2 linked regions of the Pelodiscus sinensis genome follow. The protein of the gene in region 1 interacts with the protein of each later gene in a biochemical or structural test. Links are inferred from orthologs where the notes say so. Each region holds a gene or a part of one and is shown in the gene's direction. Other genes may lie near its edges. The genes, in order: RC3H2 and KLHL6.

What was found.
Region 2: the proteins of RC3H2 (region 1) and KLHL6 form a complex in vitro, tested with the Homo sapiens proteins (2 studies listed by BioGRID, with this or other methods). The link is inferred for Pelodiscus sinensis from reciprocal best matches to the Homo sapiens genes RC3H2 and KLHL6.

Annotation. Positions count from the first base shown.
Region 1 is NC_134732.1:23,199,720-23,211,867, reverse strand, and holds the start of RC3H2 (roquin-2), read left to right. Parts: upstream 1-7,073; 5' UTR 7,074-7,240; intron 7,241-12,148. Other genes in the region: ZBTB6 (zinc finger and BTB domain-containing protein 6), read left to right, coding at 1-995. UniProt on the Homo sapiens protein: Post-transcriptional repressor of mRNAs containing a conserved stem loop motif, called constitutive decay element (CDE), which is often located in the 3'-UTR, as in HMGXB3, ICOS, IER3, NFKBID, NFKBIZ, PPP1R10, TNF and in many more mRNAs.
Region 2 is NC_134720.1:7,874,175-7,887,077, reverse strand, and holds the start of KLHL6 (kelch-like protein 6), read left to right. Parts: upstream 1-6,858; 5' UTR 6,859-6,980; coding exon 6,981-7,261; intron 7,262-12,903. UniProt on the Homo sapiens protein: Involved in B-lymphocyte antigen receptor signaling and germinal center formation.

The DNA of each region.
Region 1 (12,148 bases):
AGAAAGAGCTTTTGAAGTATCTCACTGCTGCAAGTTACCTTCAGATGGTCCACATTGTAGAGAAATGTACCGAAGCATTATCTAAATATCTGGAAATTGATGCATCTATGGAGAATAGTAATCAGAATATAGAGAAATGCCATTCCTCTGATACTGGACTGAGAAATAAAGATGACAGTTTAGATAAAGATTGTGAAATAATTGAAATTTCTGAAGATAGCCCTGTTACATTAGAATATAATGTAAAACAGGAGAAAGGGGATATCTTACAACCAGCAATGCAAAGCTTAATATCGGAAAGAAAGGACATGAAATCGCCAGAGATTTCCACAGTCGAAATAGGATATAAAGATGATGAAATTTGTATCTTCAGAATGGATTCCATGAGCATAGATAATGTGGACAATGATCATTTTCCGCAGCCTTGCACCTCCTCTAAAACAAGCTTATATTTTCCAGAAACGCAACATTCACTGATAAATTCTACTGTTGAGAACAGAATTACAGAAATGCCTGGGAATCATTTTCAGGGGTTTGTCAGTGACAATACAGAAGGAACCTCCAGTGTAATGAGTGGATTTCAGAGTCTGGAAGATTCTGGTTATTCATGGCGGCACCAGTGTCCTAAATGTCCCAGAGGATTTGTCCACCTTGAAAACTATCTGAGACACCTAAAAATGCACAAACTCTTCTTATGCTTACAGTGTGGGAAAACATTTACCCAAAAGAAGAATCTCAACAGGCACATCCGAGGGCACATGGGCATCCGCCCATTCCAATGCATGGTTTGTCTGAAGACATTTACTGCTAAAAGCACACTTCAGGACCATTTGAATATTCACAGTGGGGACAGACCTTACAAATGCCATTGTTGTGACATGGATTTTAAACACAAATCTGCCCTAAAAAAGCACTTGACTTCAGTTCATGGAAGGAGTGGTGGAGACAAACCAAACCTTGACGTTATTACACAAATCAAAATAGACTATGATTAGTGGATTTCTGGATAACTGTAAAGACATGCTGTTGTGGTGAAATGCCAGTTTTCCAGCAAATCTCTATGTAAGGGCGACAAGTGCAAATAAATACCTACTCTCATTTACTGTGTTGAAATCTAGTGTTGGTACAGTTGTATGGATGGTGTTTGCTAGCTAAAAGTAAATGGCAAAATAGAACAAAATTTGTGTTCCTTTACTGGTGCTCGTGGTACAGATAAAAGACATCTGCACAAAACTTTTTCTTCTAAAAGAGAACTCTTGCTGCTTTTCTTTCACACTTCCTCCTCATGTTCGAGGACACTGCCTATTTCTGGGGGATCATTGATCTCTCAACAAGCTAAAATCTGAACTGTTGCTTTCCCAACCTTTAATAGAAATGTCAATACCTATTCAGAACGTTAATTATGAGTGCTCCAAGAGCGATAGTTAATGTATCAGTCTATGTGAGGTCATTTTCTCAGTTCACCAAATTTTTGGATCTTTTAGCAAAAAGAAGTCAGGGCCTATTCTATTCTAAATAGATTTTTCTCCCACACTCCTCATATCTGATTGCCAAGTGTGTAGTTTAAAAAAAATAAAAACAGGAGAACTCTCTAAGGAAGCTTTAAAGTTTGTCTTAGAGGAACTGAAAAAGGCACAAATGTAGTATTCAGTTCACTTTTAACTGAATAGAGTAGGGGTGGCCAACCTGCGCTAGCAAGCCACATGCGTCTCTTCTTCCCCAAAAGTGAGGCTCGCGCAGCTGCTTCTGCATGTCCTTCCTCCCTCCCTATGACCCGTGCTCCTGGCTCCTCTGCTCACTGGGGCAGCCGACAACGGGAGCCCGATATGGCCAAAAAGCCTCAGCTTGTTTCTTAAAGAGGCAGCCTCTTTTCCCCCCCCGCGCCCCCCCCTCCCCCCAGACAATTCTGGTGCGGCTCTTTGCATTTTTCCCTGCTGCTGTTTTGGCTCTCTGCTAAATGAATAGAGTCTCATTTTAGTCATGTTCTAAAGGTTTCTAACAGCATTGTTCTCACTGACACAAATTGTTTGGTTGTAAGTTTTGGTAATCAATTCTTTGTCTTCTGATTGTATTTTATGTTTGTCTTAGTTTTGTAAGTCTCAGATGTATACTTATGCTGTGAAAATCCGAGCTACGCTCTATATTAGGATGTTTTTCAAATAGACGTAGAGGCCTTTCTATATAAGGAACCGTTTGGATATGGAGGACTCTTCAATCTGTAAATGTATGATATTGTAAAACACTATTGAATGTGTCTGGATAGATGTTACACTTTATGGTTTTACCTGCAAGCATCAAAGTGCTCTGTAATTCAAATTATTTATCTTGTGCCTGTCCTTGAGTGGCATACATGTTTCTTCCATTTAATGTGGTATAAATAAAAATATATACTGTTAGAGTGGAATAATGCCATTTATTCTAGATCCTCTTGAATTAGCAAAAACAGTAGTGCTCTTTCTTATGTATTTACACTATAAAGCTCTTATGTCACTTGCAAAAGGATCTCTTAACTTCCAGTATGTCATGTAGTACAAAAGTCACCTTGTTGGGTTTCACTCACCATCCAATTAGATGGGGTTTATGTACACAATATATGCTGTATAACTTCCTATTATTCATCTATAATAGCAATGTTCAACTGTACTGGTGTGATTGCATTCTCTGTCCAGTTTTGGCAGGTTTAATATTTTAGCCATTTTTTACCATTGTTTCAGAATGGGTTTATAATAGGTTCTTTACTTGATAGTTAGAATTAAGCTTTAAAGAACTGATTTACCAGTCGCTTATTATAACGCCTAGAGGTCTTAGCTGAGTTCATGCATAAAGCTAAGCATGGGATGCAGAGTTAATTCCTGTCTCAAGGTTTACAATATATATTATAGATGGGAAGTTTTGCTATCTCTATTTTACAGAAAGGTGTGCTGAGGCACAGAAAGACTAATGACCTAGGCCTGCATAAACTCAAGATGTTTCAGTTCATTTTATGTACTGTGAAGTAGTCCTACTGAAACGAATGGCACTATTTGTTGTGTAAAGTTAAGTGTGTATATATGTCGCAGGAGGAATGAGGCCTAAATGATATAATCAAGGAAGGTATAACTGTAAGCATAAGACCTCTCTCATCTCTCTGCCCTTATCCTGGATATATAATTTGGACATGATTGTTTTGGGATTCTTAACTATAACAATTCAATCCTTAGGTTCGGCAAATATGAGTTTTGTTTCCTTTTGTGCTGGATATTGATGCATGATTAATTTTGTGAGTTTTAGGTGTGAAATTTGGCAGTTCCACAGTAGTGGCAATTGCTTTTTACAGCACTTTTGTTAGTTTGGCTTGTATTCCTTGGCTATTTCTGTGTTTGCAGTCTTGATGTCATTGCATTTAGTGGTGGCTGTATTGGTCCCTCACGTGGTAACAAATGCATAGGGTTCACTATTGGTTTGGTAAATGTCTTATTTTGTTTAATAGTAACATTAAGGGCTTGCTTGACTTCCAGAACATACTCTTACTCTGCACTCTTGGTTTCTGTATTATATTAAATAATGTGCATACACTCAAATTAACAGGTTTATAGCTATTTTTTGTGCAGTGGGTAGTCCTGTGGCACCTAAAGCCATGTCTTTACTAACAGAAGATCAATGTTGATGTGATAGATCTTCTGGAATTCAAATTAACGGGTCTAGTTAAGACTTGCTAATTTGAACTCTGAGGGTGCCCCCATCTGCAGCTGATACTCCTGTTTCTGCGACCAGTAAGGGAAGCCAACAGAAGCTGTTGGCTACCTGCTGCGGGGATGGTAGGGAAATTTGAAACAAGATGCATCAACTCCAGCTACATAATTAACATAGCTGGAGTTGTCTTTTGATTCAATCTTACCTTTAGGGTAGACCTGGCCTTAGAGACTATCCAAAATGTATAGAATCATGAGATTTCATGGGTACTACCCACTTCATCAGATGAATTAGAGTGAAAATACCAGAAAACGAGATATCAAATATAAACAGCAGAAGTACCTGTCAGTTGTAGGACCCATATTAATGAGGCTAATTAAGTGGGCTGGATGTATCCCGTTCATAGTTTTTTTTGTGAAAATGAGGATGTTAAAGGCAGGAGAAATTGGCTTTGTAATGTGCCAACTAGTTAATGTCTTTATTCAAGCCCAGGTAAGTGTCGCATTTGAAGATTAATTTCAGAGTTCTGCAGACTGTAATTAGTGACATTTCTTTGTAGAAGACTGGCTGCTTTTAAATTCATGACTGAGTGACCTTCAGTTTTGCACTTTAAAAAAAAAAAAAAAAAGAAATCTGGTCCTACATGTTAGATGTCAGAAAACATTGGAGAACTATATTAAAATAACAGAGGGTACGTCTACACTTGCTCCCTAGTTTGAGCTAGGGATGCAAATATAGCTGACTGAAATTGCTAATGAAGTGAGGATTTAAATATCCCGTGTTTCATTAGCATAATCTCGCCAACAGCTGATTTGAACCAGGAAGTGCGCCCTGGGACAGTTCGAATCAAACCCCTGGGGTGAGATTATGCTAATGAAGCGCAGGATATTTAAATCCCTGCTTCATTAGCAATTTTGGTTGGCTACATTTGCATACCTAGCTCGAACTAGGGATCCATGTGTAGACATACCCAAACTAAGGAAAAAAATTGTTGCTTTTTAAATGGGATCTTTTATTGTAGTAGAATAATTATATGTATTGTGATGTTTGGGGACAGATAGAGCCTTGTTTTGGCTGACTTTCAGTTTGTTCTACCGCAGTGTCTTTTTGTCAGCAATACAGAATCAAACAATCATTGTCCAATATACAGGACTATGTAGCACTTTAAAGACTAACAAGATGGTTTATTAGGTGATGAGCTTTCGTGGGCCAGAACCACTTCCTCAGATCTAACAGTGGAAGAAAATTGGCACAACCATATATACCAAAGGATACAATCAAAAAAATGCACACACATGAAAAGGACAAATCAAATTTCAGAACAGAAGGGGGATGAGGAAGGGAGGTAAATGTCTGTGAGCTAATGATATTAGAGGTGATAATTGGGGAAGCTATCTTTGTAATGGGTAAGATAATTAATGTCTTTGTTTAGACCTAGGTGATAAATTCGACGCTTACCTAACTAATAGAGGCTATGATCTTGATATGCACCTTCTGTGTGAGGATTGGTAAGTTTTTTGTTCATCTGTAATAGTATAGGTTTATGTTTATCTCTTCAGTTGCTCGAATTTCTTTCCTGATTAATTTTGTTGAGAGAGAGAGAAATTCACTTATATGCATACATATGTCTGAGTCCCCTGGTGCTTTTCTTAAATGTAATTATTTTTTTCTATAACCTGATAAAATGGGATGGAAATAAGCATTGTTTATATATACACAACTCTTGAGGAGTGTGTGTGTGTGTGTGTGTGTGTATATATATATATATATATATAGAGAGAGAGAGAGACTGAAACTATCTTAAAAGTATTGAATATTATGTTAAGAAATTGTCCATGTACTTAAATTATAGCTAACTTGATATTTTAAGTACACTCTCAATTGTTAGTCATGTTCAACACACAGTCAACTGTAAAACTCCTTGCCAGACGGGGAGGGGTAGCTCAGTGGTTTGAGCATTGGCCCCCCCCAAACCCAGGGTTGTGAGTTCAATCCTTGAGGAGGCAATTGGGGCAAAAAATTTGTCAGGGATGGTACTTGGTCCTGCTGCGAAGGCAGGCGACTGGACTTGATGACCCTTCAAGGTCCCTTCCAGTTCTAGGAGATAGGCAATCTCCATTAATTTAATGTAGGATGTTGTGAAGACTAGTACTTTAACAGGGTTCAAAGAAGAGCTGGATAGATTCATGAAGGTTAGGTCCATCAATGCCATTGGCCTCTGTGGGTAGACAGGATACTGGGCTAGAGGGAGCGTTGGTCTGACCTAGTATAGCCATTCTTATGTTGGACTCCACAGTTCTTTTATATACGTATGTAACTGTCCCCCCCCCTTAGTTTGTTTCTAACCAGTTAACTGCCCGAGGGCTGCTTGTTGTTCTGACCTCCTGAGGTCTCTGTGGCAAAAGACTGAGAAAGCAGGCTTGGAGTCTTTATTTCAAATAATGCAGCTTGTGATTTCTTTACGGCTGCGTCTAGATTAGCATGATTTTCTGGAAATGCTTTTAATGGAAAAGTTTTCCGTTAAAAGCATTTTCGGAACAGAGCGTCTAGATTGGCACGGACACTTTTCCCCAAAAGCGTGTCTAAATTGGCACGGACACATTTCCGCAAAAAGCCCTGATCGCCATTTTCACGATCAGGGCTTTTTTGCACCAAACCACTCTGAGCTGTCTACACTGGCCCTTTTGCAGAAACGTTTTGTGCAAAAGGGACTTTTGCCTGAACGGCAGCAGAATAGTATTTCCGCAAGAAGCACTGATTTCTTACAGTAGGAAATCAGTGCTTTTGTGGAAATTCAAGCGGCCAGTGTAGACAGCTGGCAAGTTTTTCCGGAAAAGCGGCTGATTTTCTGGAAAAACTGGCCAGTCTAGACACAGCCTACTAGTTTACGGAGGAGGAAAAGAAGGCCCTCGCCGAGGAAACAACCATGCTCAACTAGCAGCATCTGCATCAAAGGACTTCATCCTTCCTCTGGCTGCAGCCTGCCGCTCTGCTCCCCGCCTCTCTTCCACGAAAAAGGGGAGCAGCAGTTTTAGGGCTGCAGGCAAGGCCCACGCCCCTTCTCTGCTGCAGGCCAAGTGGGGCCAAGCAGAGCAGCAGCCCCCTTCCCCTGGGGCAGCTGCACCGAGCTCCTGCTCTCTGGGGCCGGCAGGGGCAGGGAGAGAATAACGCCTCGCCCAGGCAGGCGGGGGCCTGGGGCCTTTCCCTCCAGCCTGGCGTAGGACACGCCCACTCCCTGGGCTGGGGCTTCTCTGCTCCATCATCTCTATGGTTCTTACCCACAGTGCACTAGGTCCGCCGCTCACCCAACCGGCGCGGGTCTGGCTGTCATGTGACGCGAAGGGGCGGCCCTAGAAGGGGGGAGAAAAGGCTCCCGTCTCACGTGACCCGGCCAGCTCTCGCGATAGTAGCGGGGGGCGGAGGGGCTGGGCTCCCGGCTGTCACCGCGATGAGGAGGCGCCGCCGAGGCCCCCGCCGCTGCCTCCGCCGGGCCGCTCCGGGCTGCCCGCCCCATGGAGTGTGAGAGGCCGGCGCCGCCTCCTGCTCCCGGCCCGGCCGCCCCGCGCAGGTAGGGCCGCTCGGCGGGCGGGGCCGGGCGGGGGGAGGCGCCGCGCGCTCGGCGGGGGGGGGGGGGCGCAGCGCCTCAGGAGAACGCGGCCGGGCGCCCCCGCCGCAGCGCCCCCCCCAGTGCCCTGCGGCAGCGCGCGGCGGGGGGGGGGGCTGTCAGCCCCGGCCTCGCCCCCTCGCTGTCAGCAGCGCCCCTCCCGGCGGGGGGGGGGAGCCGCCTGGGGCCTTCGCCGCCTGGTCCCGGGCTCGCCGCGCGGCTGGGGGCGCCATCCCCGGCTGCTGCGCGGGGAGCCGGGGCCCCTCCTCCCCGGGCTCCCGCGGGACAGGGCCGCCCCCGGGGCCGTGCCCCTCCGCTCGGCTGCTGTGGCCCCGCGGGCCCTCCGCTAGACAGGCCCCTGGGCTCTTCGCTCCGCCCGCCGGCTCACCCTGCTGCTAGCCCGGGGCGAGGCGTCACGAGCCCTGTGGGGACGCCCGAAGAGAAATAGCAGCGCAGACAAAGCCCCGGCGATGGTACCTGCTGGGGCTTAGGAGACGAGCCCAGCCCGCATCCTTCTGTGAAAGAGCAGCGGACTGTTCAGTGGAGCCCTGCAAATCCGCGCATTGGACGCGGACGTTCCGCAGCTCGTTTGGGCAGCTGTGGATGCAGATGCAAGTTTTGTATGTCGAGCCCAGCAGATGTGCGGGTAGCCGCTTTGTATCTGCGGGTATTAGCCTCTGCAAATGTCAGGGCGGATATCTGTGGTTCTTTGGTGGATGCGGATACAAATGTTGTGTCCACGCATAGCTCCGCTTTTAAGTACAAGAGCGGGGAGGGATTGTAGAGAATAACAGCAATATGATTCTGTGGTAGAGGTATTGATTTAGTAGGAAGGATTATAGGAGTTATTGGGGGAGAAGCTTATACCTAGAAATAAGTGATAATTAAAACAGTCTAGGTTGAAAATTAGGAAAGATTCTGATGGCAAGATCTTCTGGATGTATTTTCTGTCTCATATGTGATGACAAAGTTGGGCCTGACCCTAATTTGGCTATTTTTGTGGCTATTGCCAATTTATCTTTTTCACATAGGTTTATTTTTCTAACCAATGATCTTGTCCTTAATTATCAGTAAGAGAAAAAAACGGTGATACAGAATTTTAAATGAGAACATGCTAGTAAAATTGTAAATAGAGATCTGTTTGGATCAGTTAGTTATTTGACCCTCAATCTTTTGTTTAAAAACATCACTGGAATTCCAGAATTTAAAACCTATTGCACATTGTACTGTTTCATTCTTATTCTTTGTCACTAACTATGCTTTCCCTAGGTCTATATGCCTTTCTTATTGAATATGAAGAATATACTTCAATATATACTTTTCAACAAGTAATAGCATTAGCATTTCTAGCTTGTATGGGATAATACACTCCATACAAAAAAATGAAATTCTGTCAACTTAATGGAAATATTAGAGATTGCTTAAAAGATAATCTTGGTTGGTTTTCAGTATTGATCTTTATTTACTTAGCTAACTTATATGGCATAGGATGCCAATATTTATCTTACATACTTTCTGGAAAATCAACTATTAAAGATAAATAAAATGCAGCTTGCTGTATACAAATTTTACAGTTATTAATGAACAGAACATGAGTAATAGCTCTGGCTTTGGTTTTCATGTTGGATGGAGGATTGCACTGAACATATATCCTTGTATGAGTTTATTATTATTTGGTCTCGGCTCCAAAAAGTCTTGATGTTGCTTGCATGAAAATAATTCTTCAGGGAATTACTAACTCTTGCCCAAAATGTTATTGTGAAATTTGTTAGTGTCGGGACTGTTCACTTGTAAAAGGGATGTTTTAAAAAGTGCAACTGGGGTGAATGGGAGAAGGTTCAGGATAAATGCAGAAAGAATTGCCCCATGTGATCCTTGGTCTTCTGGACATCACCCTTTAAGTGCAGATGTACTCTGAAAAGTAAAAATAGCACCTTCTTAAACAAACATATTTTTTTGATATTCAAAACAAGCTCCTCTGATTTTAGCATCAAACATTTTTCCCATTTTGTCCTTCTGTTAGTCCTGAAAAATCTATGGGAGATGGGGTTTTTTGTCTGTATTTTAGGAAGCCAAAATTCTTTCTGTTACACCCCCTGCAACAAGCCAGAAAACAGATGTATAACTCAGTGAACATCTTAACATACGTTGCTTGAACAGGAAAGAGAATCTTGACTGAGGTCCTGGATGAATGGTTCTAGCATTTAGGGAAAAAAACCCAACTAAACAAAAACACTTTTACATGTGAACAGCAATGTTTATCTAGAAATCACAAGCAATAATAAATCTTGCGTGCTGATGCCATTTTTATATTAATGTGTTACATAGTATAACCACATTTCAACAAATAGTCTAAAAATTGTGTTTTTTAAAGTCTCTGTGCTAGGAAATTTGCAAGTATTGCAGTTTCCAAATTTCCCTATGGGTGTTTGGCAAAGGCTAAAGTCTAAGACAATTTTATAATAGGTTATGATAATGATCACCACAGAAATGTGCATAAATAAATCCAGGAAAAGTGCTAGATTGTTGGTTGTTTAATTATTAGCTCAAGTCTGTAATATGGGGATCCCTGAAAAAAGTACCTTGTTGTTTTGGTCTGTTTCAAATTGAGGTACATGGATGTGATGTTTCTTAAATAAAACAACATTTCTCCCTGAAATATAAGCTAAGGATGTTAACTCAGTTTGTATTGACTTGTATTAGTCGATAAGGGAAGGTACTCAGAAGGGGCTACCCCAACTGCAGAACTGCAGCAGCGATAGTTCCTGGACTCAGCGTGAGCTGGGAGCGAGCTAGGCTTGCTCAGTCCCAGCTCATGCCAGGTCCAGCATCCCCTGTCTGGGGGTGGGTCCCATCAGGGAGCTGGGGCCCACTGCGGACAGGAGCTGCTGCCAGAGCAGCTTGCTGTCATGTGGACAGTGGCTGCTGCTGGGGCAGCCTCTTTTCGTGGCCAGCCCCAGCTGCCATGGAGTCAGGGGCTGCTCCAACAGCAGCCCCTGTACACGGAGTGTGGGGGTGTTCCTGTGGGGAATTGCAACCCCCTGTGGACAGGAGCTGCTGCGGCGAAGCTTCTCCTATCTGTGGGAGGGCTCAACTTCCTACTGGGACCCCTTACAGACAGAGGCTGCTGCCAGAGCAGCCTTCCCTGGTCCCCCTGCACTGCTGCTTCTGACAGAGGCAGCAGCACGGGGTGGGGGAAAGTGGCACTGCAGAGACATTGCTGGGGGATCTGGCTTTTAAGCTGGCTTTGCCCCCCCCCCCCCTCCCGAGCACCAGCTCCTGTTTCCCCCATCCTCCTTTCTGCCTCTGGGGGGGGGGGGATGCAAGTGGTCAACTCAAATAACCAATAAGCCTAGGCCCATTGTGTAGTTGACTAATCAACTACTCTTCTATATCCCTAATATGAGACTTGTACTTTCCCCAGAGATAAATTCAGGTTTCTAATAAAAAGTCCTATCAGAATGGTAGCTTGGAATATTGTCTTGTAGTGGTCATTGAACAGCTCTCTTTACATTTAGGCTGCTTCTCAGAAGATTTAAATGTGACGGATATTACGTGATATGCAGAAACAAGCAAGTCTGTTCTATCTAAAGAAGATTTATTTTCACTTCAAATCATCATAGCTAAATGATGCAAAGTTATTATTGGGACTGCCAACTTCCTTGGCCTTTAATGTGCACCCAGTTTCTTGGCTATGTATGTTGTGGTGGTTAGAGTAATAAATGGAAGACTGAAGTCCATTTAGAATGTAATTTGATACTAATAATTTGATAACATGAGCAATAAATTACTGAGATAGATGAGAAACTTTCAACTTAAGTAACTTCAGAAGGAAGGCTTGACAAACCTACTTACTGTAGTCTAAACAAGTGATTAATTTGCTTGCACAGATGGAAAATTGCAATGGATGCCTTGACATTTTCCCATTTTATAATCCCAAGTTGTCTGCAGCTAGCTACTATGTAAAGAGCATCTCAGCCTCAGAAGCATGGTTAAAATCATATAGTAAGAGTGTATTATATTAGAATAAAATCCATGTTGTAATTTGCAGTGCCTAATGCACTCAGTCCTTAATAATTCAAAGTTCTCAATAGTAGGACTAAAAATTGAGTGGAATCGAACTCATTGAAGTCAATAGGGAAGGTTAATAGGATTGAGAGAATGTGCCAAAGTTAGTTTAAAATGTGAGCCTCATGTACCATACAGCTCCATTGTGAATCAGCTTCACAAATTATAAATTAAAAAAATCTAATGTTTAAAGTAATTTCATCAAGTAGTTAAATCCACATTTTTTGTGATTCAAAAAACAAATTCAGGTTCACTTATTGTGATTGATAGGAAAATGTAAACATCCCCTGGGAGGATTATGAATTCAAACTCAGTAGCATGTAGCTACTGCAGTAGAAATAAAAAGTGAAACTTGATGATTTGGGCAAGTCTGTCCTCTATGCAATAGTTTCATAATGAATAGCAAACAGTATATTTAGATGTCTAAATTCTTCAGGTTTAGTAATCTAAGGTGGTCTTAATATGATGTCTCAACTGATAGCATTTCAACATACTGTTAAAAAAATGAAACCTTCTTGCTGTGTGCTTAATCATTTTCTGCATTGTGTTGGTGGATTTTTCACGTAGAAAGATTAGGGTAACTCTCTCTTTGTTTAAAAAAAAAAAAATTCCCTTGGGATGACAGTGACATCATCACATCACTCTGTGTCTACACGCCCCACCCTCGCACGAGCTCCCTCACAGCGAGGCTAGACACGGGCTCCCTGCCCCTTCGGGGATGGCAAAGTCACCTGCCAGCCCAACCTGGATAGATTCTGCCTCCCAAGAGTCCTGCCCACTCAGTTCTGGCCACAGCTTTTCAGG
Region 2 (12,903 bases), on another chromosome or scaffold:
CAACGCAAAAACAAGTGCCTGGATGACTTCAGATACCTTAAAAATGACTCTGATTATTTTGTTCTATTAGCCTGTGGTCATGTAAAACACAGCACTTGCCTCTCAGCTCTGCATTACTGCCTGATGATGCTAGTACTTAGGCAAATCATGACAAATCACCAACAACCCATCTCTTAAGCTGCAGTGAGTCTTTCCTTGTGGACCAAAGGATTCTGGTACTATTAAGCACTTCTAGAAAGGCAGACTCTGACCATGAGGAGCTGCCTGGTAGAAAAGATAAGGTTTATAGCAGTTACAAATAAAGGGTGTTGGCAAGGGGATCTGAGTGTCACAGTTCTACCTATCTTTCCTCCTCTGGTGCTCAGCAAGGGTGCTCCAGTCAGTGGGGAGAGAGATGTGCATCTCCAGAACAGGTCCCAGCATTTGCTATATTATTCCCAGCAAGAAGCTCACTGCCTGAGCAGAGCTACTTGGTTTCTTTTCAGAGATTGATAATTAACTGCCTCAGTTAAGCTGCCACACAGCTCTTTCTATGCCAGGGCTAAAGCGTCACTCAGAAAACATATCTAAAACACCAGAAGAATCTGTATGCAGGCTAATAAACTTAGCAGAGATCACCCAACTCTGACAAGGTCTGTGGCAGGTGATTAGCCTTTCAGGCCTGCAGAGGGTCTTGTCGGTGGTCACAAGTTCATAACAACCTCAGCTCAGAACTAGCACAGTCATGAAACATTTAGTCCAGCTTTTATACAGTTCAGGGGTCTCTGATCTGGAGTTTCCAGGAGTACATAATCAGCAGATGATATGTTTTTCTTCTTGGGCTGTAGCTTTAGAAAACCAGACCAGTCAGTTTAACCTCTGTGCCAGGAAAGATAATGGAGCAAGTAAGGAATTCATCTGCAAACACCTAGAAGATAATAAGGTGATAGGTAACAGCCAGCACGGATTTGTAAAGAATAAATCATGTCAAACCAGTCTGATAGCTTTCTTTGATAGGATAACGAGTCTTGTGGATAAGGGAGAAGCAGTGGACGTGGTATACCTAGACTTTAGTAAGGCATTTGATACGGTCTCGCATGATATTCTTATCAATAAACTTGGCAAATACAACTTAGATGGAGCTCCTATAAGGTGGGTGCATAACTGGCTGGATACCCATTCTCAGAGAGTAGTTATTAACGGTTCACAATCATGCTGGAAGGGCATAACAAGTCGGGTTCCACGGGGTCTGTTTTAGGTCTGGTTCTGTTCAATATCTTCATCAACGATTTAGATAGTGGCATAGAGAGTATGCTTATTAAGTTTGCAGATGATACGAAGCTGGGAGGGGTTGCAGTTGCTTTGGAGGATGAGGTCATAATTCAAATGATCTGGACAAACTTGAGAAATGGTCTGAGGTAAATAGGATGAAATTTAATAAGGACAAATGCAAAGTACTCCACTTAGGAAGGAACAATCAGTTTCACACATTCAGAATGGAAAGCAACTTTCTAGGAAGAAGTATTGCAAAAAAGAATCTAAGGGTCGTAGTGGACCACAAGCTAAATATGAGTCAACAGTGTGACACTGTTGCAAAAAAAGCAAACATGATTCTGGGATGCATTAACAGGAGTGTTGTGAGCAAGACACGAGAAGTCATTCCTATGCTCTACTCTGTGCTGATTAGGCCTCAATTGGAGTATTGTGTCCAGTTCTGGGCACTACATTTCAAGAAAGATGTGGAGAAATTGGAGAAAGTCCAGAGAAGAGCAACAAAGGTGATTAAAGGTCTAGAGAACATATCCTATGAAGAAAGACTGAAATAATTGGGTTTGTTTAGTTTGGAAAGGAGAAGACTGAGAGGGTACATGGCAGCGGTTTTCAGGTATCTAAAAGGGAGAAAAATTGTTCTCCTTAGCCTCTGAGGATAGGACAAGAAGCAATGGGCTTAAACTGCAGCAAGGGAGTTGGACATTAGGGAAAACTTCCTAATTGTCAGGGTGATTAAACGCTAGAATAAGTTGCCTTGGGAGGTTGTGGAATCTCCATCTCTGGAGATATTTAAGAGCAGGTTAGATTGACATCTATCAGGGATGGTCTAGATTGTACTGGGTCCTGTCATGAAGGCAGGGAACTGGACTCGACGGACCTCTCGAGGTCCCTTCCAGTTCTAGTGTTCTATGATTCTATAATGGCACAGATGGCGATAAGAAGGAAGACAGCCATCAACATTTGCACCATTCAACACAGTGGAGGCTGCTAGGGCATTCCCTATGTCATCCATAATGGTTGGGGAGCTAGTTGCATCGCAGTTCTCCACTGACATAGTTAGGGCATGGTTTCATTTTGCAGCGTTAATGGGACCTGAACCCAAAGTTTGTATTCACCTTTGCGCATCCTAGTAATTTAACTATATCTTGCAATGTTTAGTAGTTTTCTTAAAGTGTCTTGGGTACTTACCTGAGAACCTCAGTTTCCATTTAAAAAACAGTCAAGTTTCTAACCCTAATGGTATAAAGAAAAGCTTGGAAATGGGAACCTTAAAGGGTTCAGACACTAGAAGGCAAATACAAATAATCTAATATTGTGGTTAAAATATGATTTATTTAGATCAATCTTATGATTTTTTGGGGACTGACTCATGATTTTTGAACCCATGGATCTGGCAGACACAGATGGAGCATAAGAAGAGAGGAATTCACAGTCACTAGAAGTAGCAATAGCAACTCCACAGCTGCATTCCGCTCTGGGATCATGAAGGAGCAAATAAAGATTGAGCAAATTCTGCAAGAAATGACAGACAATGAATGCAGTAGAGAGGGGAGAAAAGGAGGAAGATTTCTGGCTTCCTTGCTTTCCACCCTTGCAGCCTGCACCAGGGCCACCCAAAGTCCAGTTCTATCTCAGCATAATTGTTCATTCCCTCCAATTGTAAAGTCAGGCTCCTTTAATATTGTGGCTTTAATTAGAAAGAGTTTGGAAGGAGAGAGAAAGATAACTAATGAATTTCAGAAACCTAGAGATGGCCTAAAGCACCAATCCTGTAAATAATAGTGTCACAGATTCAAGGTGTGCTCTTATACCACTTATAAAAATTAGAAATAAGTATCATATCCCACTGAAATGGAGGATTTCCTGGTTCCCTGCAGATATAAAGTTCCAAAGCCAATGACAGGATTAGGCCACCCAACTCCCATTACTTTCAACAGGGTTCTGTGGCTAAATTCTCTAGCTAGCTTTCAGAATTTCTCACCTACACTATAAAGTTTTGTGGGAAAATGGCAGTTTTTCCAAAAAATCTTCAATTACGTCCACACTACAATCGCATTCTTTTGAAATAAAATTAAAAGAACAAATGGGATTTTCTGGCATTGGTAATCCTCTTTCTACGAAGCAGAAGCCTTTTTCCAAAAGAGCTCTTTTGGAAAAAGGCATGTGTGGACTGGGAAGAAGGAGTTCTTTCAAAGAAGAGGAAAGAGGAAAAAGCACAGGTGCCCTGGTGGCCACTTTGTCCATAGTAATCACAGTTTAAATGCGAGATAGCATCCATTCAGTGTGTAAGCTACCTTTCGAAAAAGCAGATCGCTTTTTTGATGCACTTTGGCAGTGTGGAAGCTCTTTTGGAAGATGTTTTTTTGGAAGATCTCTTCTGGAAATGTTTCTTCCGAAAGAAGCCTGAAGACTAGATGTAGCCTCTGTTCCTAGTCCTTGAATGGACTGTAAACCCAAGTCCAAGACCTAAAATTACCTGTTTTGTATCTCAGAGCAGTGTAGTTTTTTGTGTGTGGCAGGATCTATTCCACATTGGAGAGGAAACATCTCTTTGGAGTTTGCTTGAAGCTTCTCAGAGGTTTGGAATTATAGTTGTAATTCTGGGTAGAGATGGATTGGTGGATGAAGAGCAGGTCAGGCAATCAAATCAATGTAGTTGTTTCGATTAAAAACAGAATGTTTAAAAGCCAATTTGCAATATCAGCCATCTTACAAAGTATGTTTCTCAACATATTACCGTTACTAGTCTTCATCTCTTTGTTCATGAAGGCCTCCAAAGAGAAATCCCATTCTTAAAGTTCTTGCAGTAAGGGATTCTAATGTCTAAGGCTATGTCTGCACTTGATCAACAGCCTTCTACCCCCACGCATGACAAAGTTTTGCCACAGCAAGTGAAAGTGTGAATCCACTCCTGCTAACAAAACAAAACCCCGTCATTGGGGGTGGAAGTATTTTGTCAACAAAAGTGCTGACAGACAGCATGGATTCATGCTGACTTTTAGTGACAGGGCCGTGTCAACACAGCCTTGTCACTACAAACTATGTAGTGTAGACATACCCTAAGCATACTCAAGTCTCTTTAGAGCTAGATAAAAACTGGTGTGGGGTGGGGGGAGGAGAATAAAAAAATTGAACATTTTCATTTTTCATAGTTCAAAACTTAGCTTTTTAAAAAATATTCCAAAAACATTTCCCATTTTAATTAGAGTATTAGACTCACAGAATCATAAAATTGGAAGAGACCTCAGGAGGTCATTGAGTCCAACCCTCTGCTAAAGGCAGGACCAATCCCAACTAAATCAGCCCAGCCAGGGCTTTGTCAAGCTGGGACTTAAAAACCTCTAGAGATGAAAATTCCATCACCTCCCTAGGGAACCCATTCCAGTGCTTCACCACCCTCCTAGTGAATTCTCCCTCTTTCTGTCCTTTCTGGAATCAATACAGTACATTATGTCAAGGACTGGGCCTTTCTTTCTTTCTTTCTTTCTTTCTTTCTTTCTTTCTTTCTTTCTTTCTTTCTTTCTTTCTTTCTTTCTTTCTTTCTTTCTTTCTTTCTTTCTTTCTTTCTTTCTTTCTTTCTTTCTTTCTTTCTTTTCAACTTTGGAAAAGTTGGATAAAAGTACAAGAGAAGAACCCAGAGGGGATCTTTGTAGCAATGAATCTTTGAACTCCATTCTTCCTCAATTCCTCAGTGCCCATGGGGCACAATTCACTGCCATGGCACCTCCTGCTGGTTGTTCCAGGAATTAGCTCAGTTTTCAGCAGGGTGCCTCCTGGCAGATATCTTGCTCATCATCGCTCTGTGCTCTTCTCACGATCTTGCTCTGGACCCACATTACTCCCAGACCATGGAGTCCTCTTCAGGACACTGCTCTCCAGCAGTGCCCACCACAGTGGTCTCTCACCCCCTTCCAGAGGTATCAGCAGTTCTCAACTTCCCCTGCCACTATGGCCAACTGCATCCCCAAAGCCTAGCCCCTCTGCCTCAGGGCACGCCACAGTCTGTATAGGCCACTGTTCCTGGTAGCAAGGTGTGGTATGAGTGATAAGGGGGGACCCAGGCCCACCCACTACTCTAGGTCCTGGACCAGAGACCCTTGGGCAGAAGCCTCATCCTGTCCCCTTCTCTCCCTTCTACTGCCTCCTGTTTCCTGGGCCACTTCCCCTGTGATTCCTGCACCTCCCTGGCCCTTGTGTCAAGGCCAGCAGCCTGGAAGGTATCAGGCTGAAGCCTCTCTCTCTAGCCCCCCTGATCCTGTCCAGCACTGCTCTCTCACCAAAGTGTTTCTCAGGAAACCAGTCCCACACCCTCCAACATCAGGACCCGACTGCCTCGCTTTGCTGGGAAGCTCCTTATATACAGGGCTTGGCCCAGCAAGCTGCCCTCTGATTGGCTTCTTAAAAGCCTCTTCTGATTGGCCAAGGCTCTGCACAGGCTCCCTCCAGCCTGCTTCAACCCCTTCCAGCTAGTGTGGGGCAGCCACCCCACTACACTCAGGTTGCTTTTATCCTGCCCTAAACCTCTTCTGCCCTGTGCAGCTCACAATTGCATACAATTCAGGAGTCCACCCTATACTCGGATGGCCCTCTTGTGGAGGGAGAGTGAAACTACACCCATGTTGTTGTCAGGTGCTACAGAGACAGGAAGAGAATTTGTCTCTTGGTATCAAAATAAAATAATTCTCAATGAGGCTTCACAGTTATGAGAGGAACTTCGTGAACTTCTGGTGTATTTACTGAGTTGTGTGTAGGGGCGGTTTCACAAGGTTATTGTGGTGTGGGAGGGGTTATAATACTGCTACTTTTACTGCTGCGCTGCTGCTGGCAGTAGCTGTGCCTGCTGAACAAGGTCCTCAGTCAGCAGCCGCCACTCTCCAGCCGCCCAGCTCTGGAGTCAGCAGCGCAGATGCAAGGTTGGCATGATATGTATGGAATTACCAGCCTTACTTCTACACTGCGGTGGCTGGAACACTGACTTCAGAGCGGGGCACATGACCAACAGCCACCACCCTCCAGCTGCCCAGCTCCAAAGAAAGTTGAGAAGTAAACATGGCAATCCTGTGCCCCCCTAAAATGACCTGGTGACCCCCTGCAATTCCTTTTGGGTTAGGACTCCTAATTTGAGGAACACAGGTCTCCCATGTGAAATCTGCACAGTGTAGAGAAATAGCAGACAAAAGACCAGATTTCACAGAGTGAGAACAGATTTTGCGGTCCGTGACGTGTGTTTTATGGTGGTAAATTTGGTAGCACCCTAACAACAAAGTAAACATGTTATAGATGGCAGCTCAGGCATCAGCATTTAAAATGATAAAGTGTCTAATTGTGAGAATTTATGCCTGATAACAGACATTTCTCACATTCAGTACTCACTGCCAGTGGATGGACCTGGAATCCATAAAGGACACCTTTCATTTTGGATAAGCAAATTGGGATAAATAAAAGGCCAGTGTCAGGATGCGAGAGAGGCCTTCCCCATCATTTGTAATCTTCTCACATTTAGAAGCATCTTAAGTCTTTTCTAAACATGTTGATATTGCCCGAAATTCACAGAAACCTCCACCCTCCCAGCCTTTGTTTGTGTTAACAGGATGAGAAAGTGCAAGGCTTCCTGTTATGTGTGTGACAGCTGTAGATAAGCGGAGAGCCCTGGACAGGAAATCCGCTTAACTTCGGCAGTGTAACTCATCTGAAGCTTAGGAACTCTTTTAGAGAGAAGCCCCAACGGAATGACACGGTCTGGTTCCAACATGGGGGACACAGTGGAGAAAAGTTCTGAAGACCCTCTGGTCTCTTTGGACAATGAGTACTCCAGGAAGATGGGGGACCTAGTGGAAATCTCAAGTGGGGACAAGGTTAAGTTTGATGACACTGGGCTTTCTATGGTGCTTCAGAATGGCCTGGAGAACCTGAGGCTGGAAAACTCTCTCACGGATGTCATCTTGTGTGTGGACCACATGGAATTCTCTTGCCACCGTGTGGTCCTGGCGGCAGCAAGCAATTATTTCAGGTAAGGCAGTTTTTAAAACCAACACCTTTTCCCCTCAGTACACGGAGGCTGGGCGTTTCTAAGGCGCCTCAGGCTGAGTGCCCAGCTCTTGCCGACTTTCAGAGGGTTTGGACCCCTGTCTCCGTTACTCTCTTTGACAGTTGGAGCCTTAAATTAGGAAAGCAACAATGTCAAACATGTCACGTCTACCCCAAACAGACAACTGGAGGGAAAACAATTGGCGATGGAAGGACAAAATCTTAGCCAAATATTCTGAGCATTGTTTACCCATCATTGTATGCATCCTTGATTCATTGCAAATTTGGGGTAGTTTTGTTTTAGTGTGACTGTGGAAGTTGTCTTTTTTCACTATTACTATGTGGTAGAATGCATAGTCTGTAAACTTGTTGAGAAGGGAAAAGGATGTGTGTCCTCTTTCCTGTCTTTCCCAAGATTACTGTAAAATCAGTTGAGAGATGGGAACTTCTTGTAAGGAAGAAATTTTACAAATTCCAAAGAATCCACCTTTAGTCCTTTTAAAACCACAGTGAACTTTAGGCTCCTGATTGGAAGGAACAAACTTGAGACTCATGGAGAAACACAGTATGAGTTATAACATTTTCCATTATCAGTTTAGACCTTCACATTTGCATAGCTGGGATTTTTTGTCAACTGTTGAGATGGCGTGGTGACTGACTACAGTGGAAACTGGAGGGAAACAAATCTGCAGGCATTAGTGATTTGAGTAGGAAGTGCCAGTTTCATGGAGGCTTAGTGAAGTTTACTCACAGAGATCACAAGAGAAGTGCTATTTTAGACATCCGAGACTAAACCTAATACAAAATAAGATTTACATGTGAAACTCATGCAGCTGAAAGCAGTGTAGTAGTGGTGCCATATGGAAAAAGGGAAACAAAATGAACAGTGGAAATCTGAATTAAAATAATGTAACTGAAAAATGGCCAACAGTCAAACCAGTATTGTGTGTTATCAGGGGATTACAGATTGGCTTCCTCCAGCCAGGGATCCCCAGTGTGACGGGAGTGGCTGTTGGCATCACACATCACTGACTGCTATCAGCCAGGCATCTGCTGTTGGCAGAGGACTCTGGGAGGATGAAATGCCCCTGGGTGTATGGTGCCCCTCTCAGCCCTTTGGGATATGGCACAAAATGGCTCAAAAAGGAGGGTGGATACTGACTGGGTTTTGTCATGTGAAGAGCAAGGATGGATTCATTGGATGTTGCATGTCTGCAGGGAGCAAATAGTTTTCTAAAATTATTTCTCTCATTTGTCATCCTGAATTGGGGGGTAGGTTTGTACAAGGCCTAACACATTTTGGATGCTAACATAATAAAACTCCAGCCATCTGAAGAAGTGGGTTGTGCCCACGAAAGCTCATGAGCCCATCTACGTGCTTTGTTAGTCTATAAAGTGCTACCAGACCATTTGTTGTTTTTTAAGTTTATAGTATAAGTAGTTCATGCTAAATTCACATTTTAAACAGGGGTTGAGCAGGGACCAGGCAGAGGTATCAACTTTCAGTCCTTCCTCTGTTATCATTGAAGATCATATATAATATAATGTTTTGATGGAGTCCTGTATCCTTAAACGTGCCTTAAATTCTCCACTCCAGCTGTGCAAAGTAAATGGTGTAAAGAGGGTACCAAACCAGAAGAGCAGCATTTTACACCTGATTTGCACCAGGTAGTGGAGAAACAATCCCACAGAAACTGGGGCCAATATTTTCAGAAGCAACTGTTAGTTATGAGAGTCGAACATTTGCCAAAATGCGGGTGCTTAAAATTACACTCATTAAGTCCAAATGTAGGAACCTAAGTGTCCTAACATTCAAAAATGCTGGGTGCACAGCAGCTCCCATTTCCTGGGTCTAAATTTGGACTTTGAAGCCTTATTTTAGACACCCAATTCTGAAAATCTGAAAGCAGGGCAGTGGTGTGGTAGTGCCCTGCATTCCCAGCCTCGAGAGCTTTGTCCAGCTGGGGGCTTGCAGGATGTTTCTGTATGGCCCACGTGGAAGGCACCATTTTGTAGAGCAGAGTTGCCTGGCCACAGTAGAGCTGCTGGAAGAGACACCAGTCCTCCATGATGTTACACCCCTCCTCCCCCCCATTTCTGCCCCCTGACTTTCAAGGAGGAGTGATGTGGAGTTGCTTAGCGCTTTTCAACCCAGGGTCTCAGCAGGTCTCACACACAGTAAACAAGTCTCCCCTCACCCCACTGAAGTGGGGGCAGGGGAAAATATTATTCCCCCCATTTAAAGGTTAGAGGATAGGTGCAGAAAGCTCCCCCGTGAGAGCGGAAAGCCACGGTAACTCCACTGAGTTACTCCAGTTTCAGGCTGATAAGGTGAGAACAGAGCTGCACCTCCCCGGCTGTTAGTGCCCTGCCTTACCACAAGACCACAATCACAGATCTAGGAGATAAAGAAGTGAGGGTACAGAACAGCTGCATCCTAGGACAACAGCCCGTTTCTCACTCACATGAAGCTCTTCCACTACCACACGTGCAGTATGTGCCCTTTAATTCTTTCCTTTTTTGTATAGAACCCCTCTCTCTCTAACGTGTGACCGGTGCTTTTGCTCTCAAATGCCTGCCTGCCTGGAATACCCGAAAATGTCATCTCAACAGCATGCAGCACCCCTGCTATAACATGACAGAGTAAAATACACAGAAGTAACAGGGGCCTAACTCCTGCTCCTGTTGAAGTTAAAAGATATTTTGCCATTGACTTCCGTGGGAACCAGGAAGGAAAGCAGGGAACAGGAAAATGCTACAGGGCAGTGAAAATGCGAATGAGGCAAGTCTTTGGAATGATTAGGTCTGCACAAGCCTTCTGCTCACAGGCTCTGTCTTCCCTGCCGTGCACAGCAGGAGACTAACATGGATTGTCTATCTTGCTTAAAACCCTAGTGTAGAGAAGGTGCAGGTCACTTTTATTGAAATCTAGCTAGGAGAGGTCAACAGCATAGGCCCCGCCTGTGGCTCACCTCATCTAAGTATTTTGTGGTAAAAACGACAGCACCTGGCCTCCGCTTCCCAGAGAGGTTGCTAATCTGTGTTTGGCAGGAAACACACACCTTTTCTGTCCGTGAAGACTTTGGTCTGCAAGACAATTATACACAGTTCTCCTAACTTTGCATCCTTATGTGGTCCTTTCTAACCTAGAAAGATTTGGCATTCCAGGTTAATAGGAGATGAATTACATTTGAGACGCTCACACATGTTTTCCTCTGGCTGTAGTCAAAAAAAGGTTCAGGTACTTCTAATCTTACTGTTGTGATTGAATCATCTTTGAAATCTGGCACCTGGCCTCTAAGAGTCCGTGTACACTACAGAGAAGATCGAAGCTGCTGCTATTAATCTTTCAGGGTTCGAATTAGTGGGTCCAGGGAAGACACACTAATTCGAACAAAGAGGCATGCACCAGTCGATGCCGGAAGGCCTGCTTCCAAGAGAAGTAAGGGAAGTCGAAGGGAAATGTTCTCCCTTCGACCTCCTGGCTACGTCTAGACTGGCATAATTTTCCGCAAATGCTTTTAACGGAAAAGTTTTCTTGCACGGTTTTGTGCAAGAAAGCCCCGATCGCCATTTTCACCTTTGGGGCTTTTTTGCACAAAACACTTTTTAGCTGTCCCTCTTGCGCAAATACATTTCTATCACTATTTTACATTAGATCGTCAATGTTCTTGCGCAAATTCAAGTGGCCAATGTAGACAGCTGGCAAGTTTTTCCGCAAAAGCAGCTGCTTTTGCGGAAAAACTTGCCAGTCTAGACGCAGCCCCTGTAGTGTGGACAGCGCCAAAAGTTGAGTTAAGGTACTTCAAGTTCAGCTACACAATTAATGTAGCTGAAGTTGTGTATCTTAATTGGACCTTATCCCATAGAGCAGACGAACCCTAAGTGACAGCTGAACTCAGTGACAAAGATCAGGATAATCAGCAGGTATTTAAAGTGCAAAACCAGAATTGAACTGGGAGTGAGAAGCCATTCACCAGCAGTACATTCATCTTATAGAAGAAAACTGCTTGAAGAGAGACTCAAAATTAAAGGGGGATTAATAAATTAAAGAAAGATGAATGTGCCAGTGAGGAAGCAAAGTGCTTTGAGATGGCGCTTAGTTAATTCTGTGGTTTAGATCCTGTACACAATACTCTGTTAGGATTAGTTTTGTCTACACTACACAGCTTTGAATGACATGACTGTGTCGCTAAAAGTGGGGCAAAATACTTCCATGCTCACAACAGTGTTTGCGTTGTCAACCAGACAGTGCTCCTGCCGGAAACAGCAGTTCACCCTGACGCTGCTGTGGCAAAAATTTTGTCTCTCAGGAGCGGGGGGTTAACATTCTGAACAACAAAAGTTTTGTCGCTCAGTTGCCAGTGTAAACATAGTCTACAAACACACCGTCATCAATAACAAGGAAATTGCCATTTAAGGCAATATTAACAGCCAAGCCAACCACAATTCAGATTCATTGCCATTTATATACCTTATACCCGAAGACACAAGCTTCTCAACTCCACAGCAAACTCCATGAGGTTCATCAGAGGGAGAAGCTGCTTCTGGAGCAGAGAAAGTAACTCTGTCCTAAAGGCATCTTCATCTGTAAAGTTCCCAGTCCCTCCTCTCTGGGACTCATAGGGTCCAGGACATAGTGGGAGACTTAGGCTACGTCTAGACTGAAGGCTTCTTTTGGAGGAAGCTTTTCCGGAAGAGATCTTCCAAAAAAACTTCTTCCGAAAGAGAGCATCCACACTGCCAAAGCTCATTGAAAAAACTATCTGCTTTTTTGACTGATAGTGTCCACACTGAATGGACGCTATCTCGCATGTAAGCTGTGATTACTATGGATGAAGTAGCCACCAGAGCACCTGTGCTATTTCCTCTTTCCTCTTCTTTCAAAAGAAGTCCCTCTTTCCAGTCCACACATGCCTTTTTTGGAAAGAGCTCTTTCAGAAAAAGGCTTCTTCCTCGTAGAAGGAGGTTTACCAAAGTCGGAAAAACACCTCTGTTCTTTCGATTTTTTTCCGAAAGAACGTGATTGCAGTGTGGACACAAGTGAAGTTTTTTTGGAAAAACGCTGTAGTGTAGACATAGCCTTAGAGTATGGCTACATTGCTTGCTTATTTTGAAATAAGCTATTCCGGAATAGTTATTCTGAAATAGCTTATTTCAAAATAGCACGTTGACACTGCAGGGAAGCCTCAAAATTAGTCCGAGGCAGGCTTCCCTAATGTAGACGTGCTATCTCGATTTAGAGCCCAGGAGGCACTCAGGGGTAGATAACTTAGCATGGCCCAGGTGAGGGACTATTTCAAAATAGCAGCAGTGGAGTGTCTACACAAGCCTTATTTCAAAATAGCTATTTCGGAATAGGCGTTATTCCTTGTAGAGTGAGGTTTATAGATTTCGGAATAAGCCGTCCGTTATTTCGAAATTATTGCGACTGGGACTTTTCAGTTAAGAAAAAAGGAGACTGAGGGGGGATATGATAGAGGTCTATAAAATCATGAGTGGTGTGGAGAGGGCTGATAAAGAAAAGTTATTTATTAATTCCCATAATAGAAGAACTAGAGGACACCAAATGAAATTAATGGGTAGCAGGTTTAAAACTAATAAAAGAAAGTTCTTCACACAGCG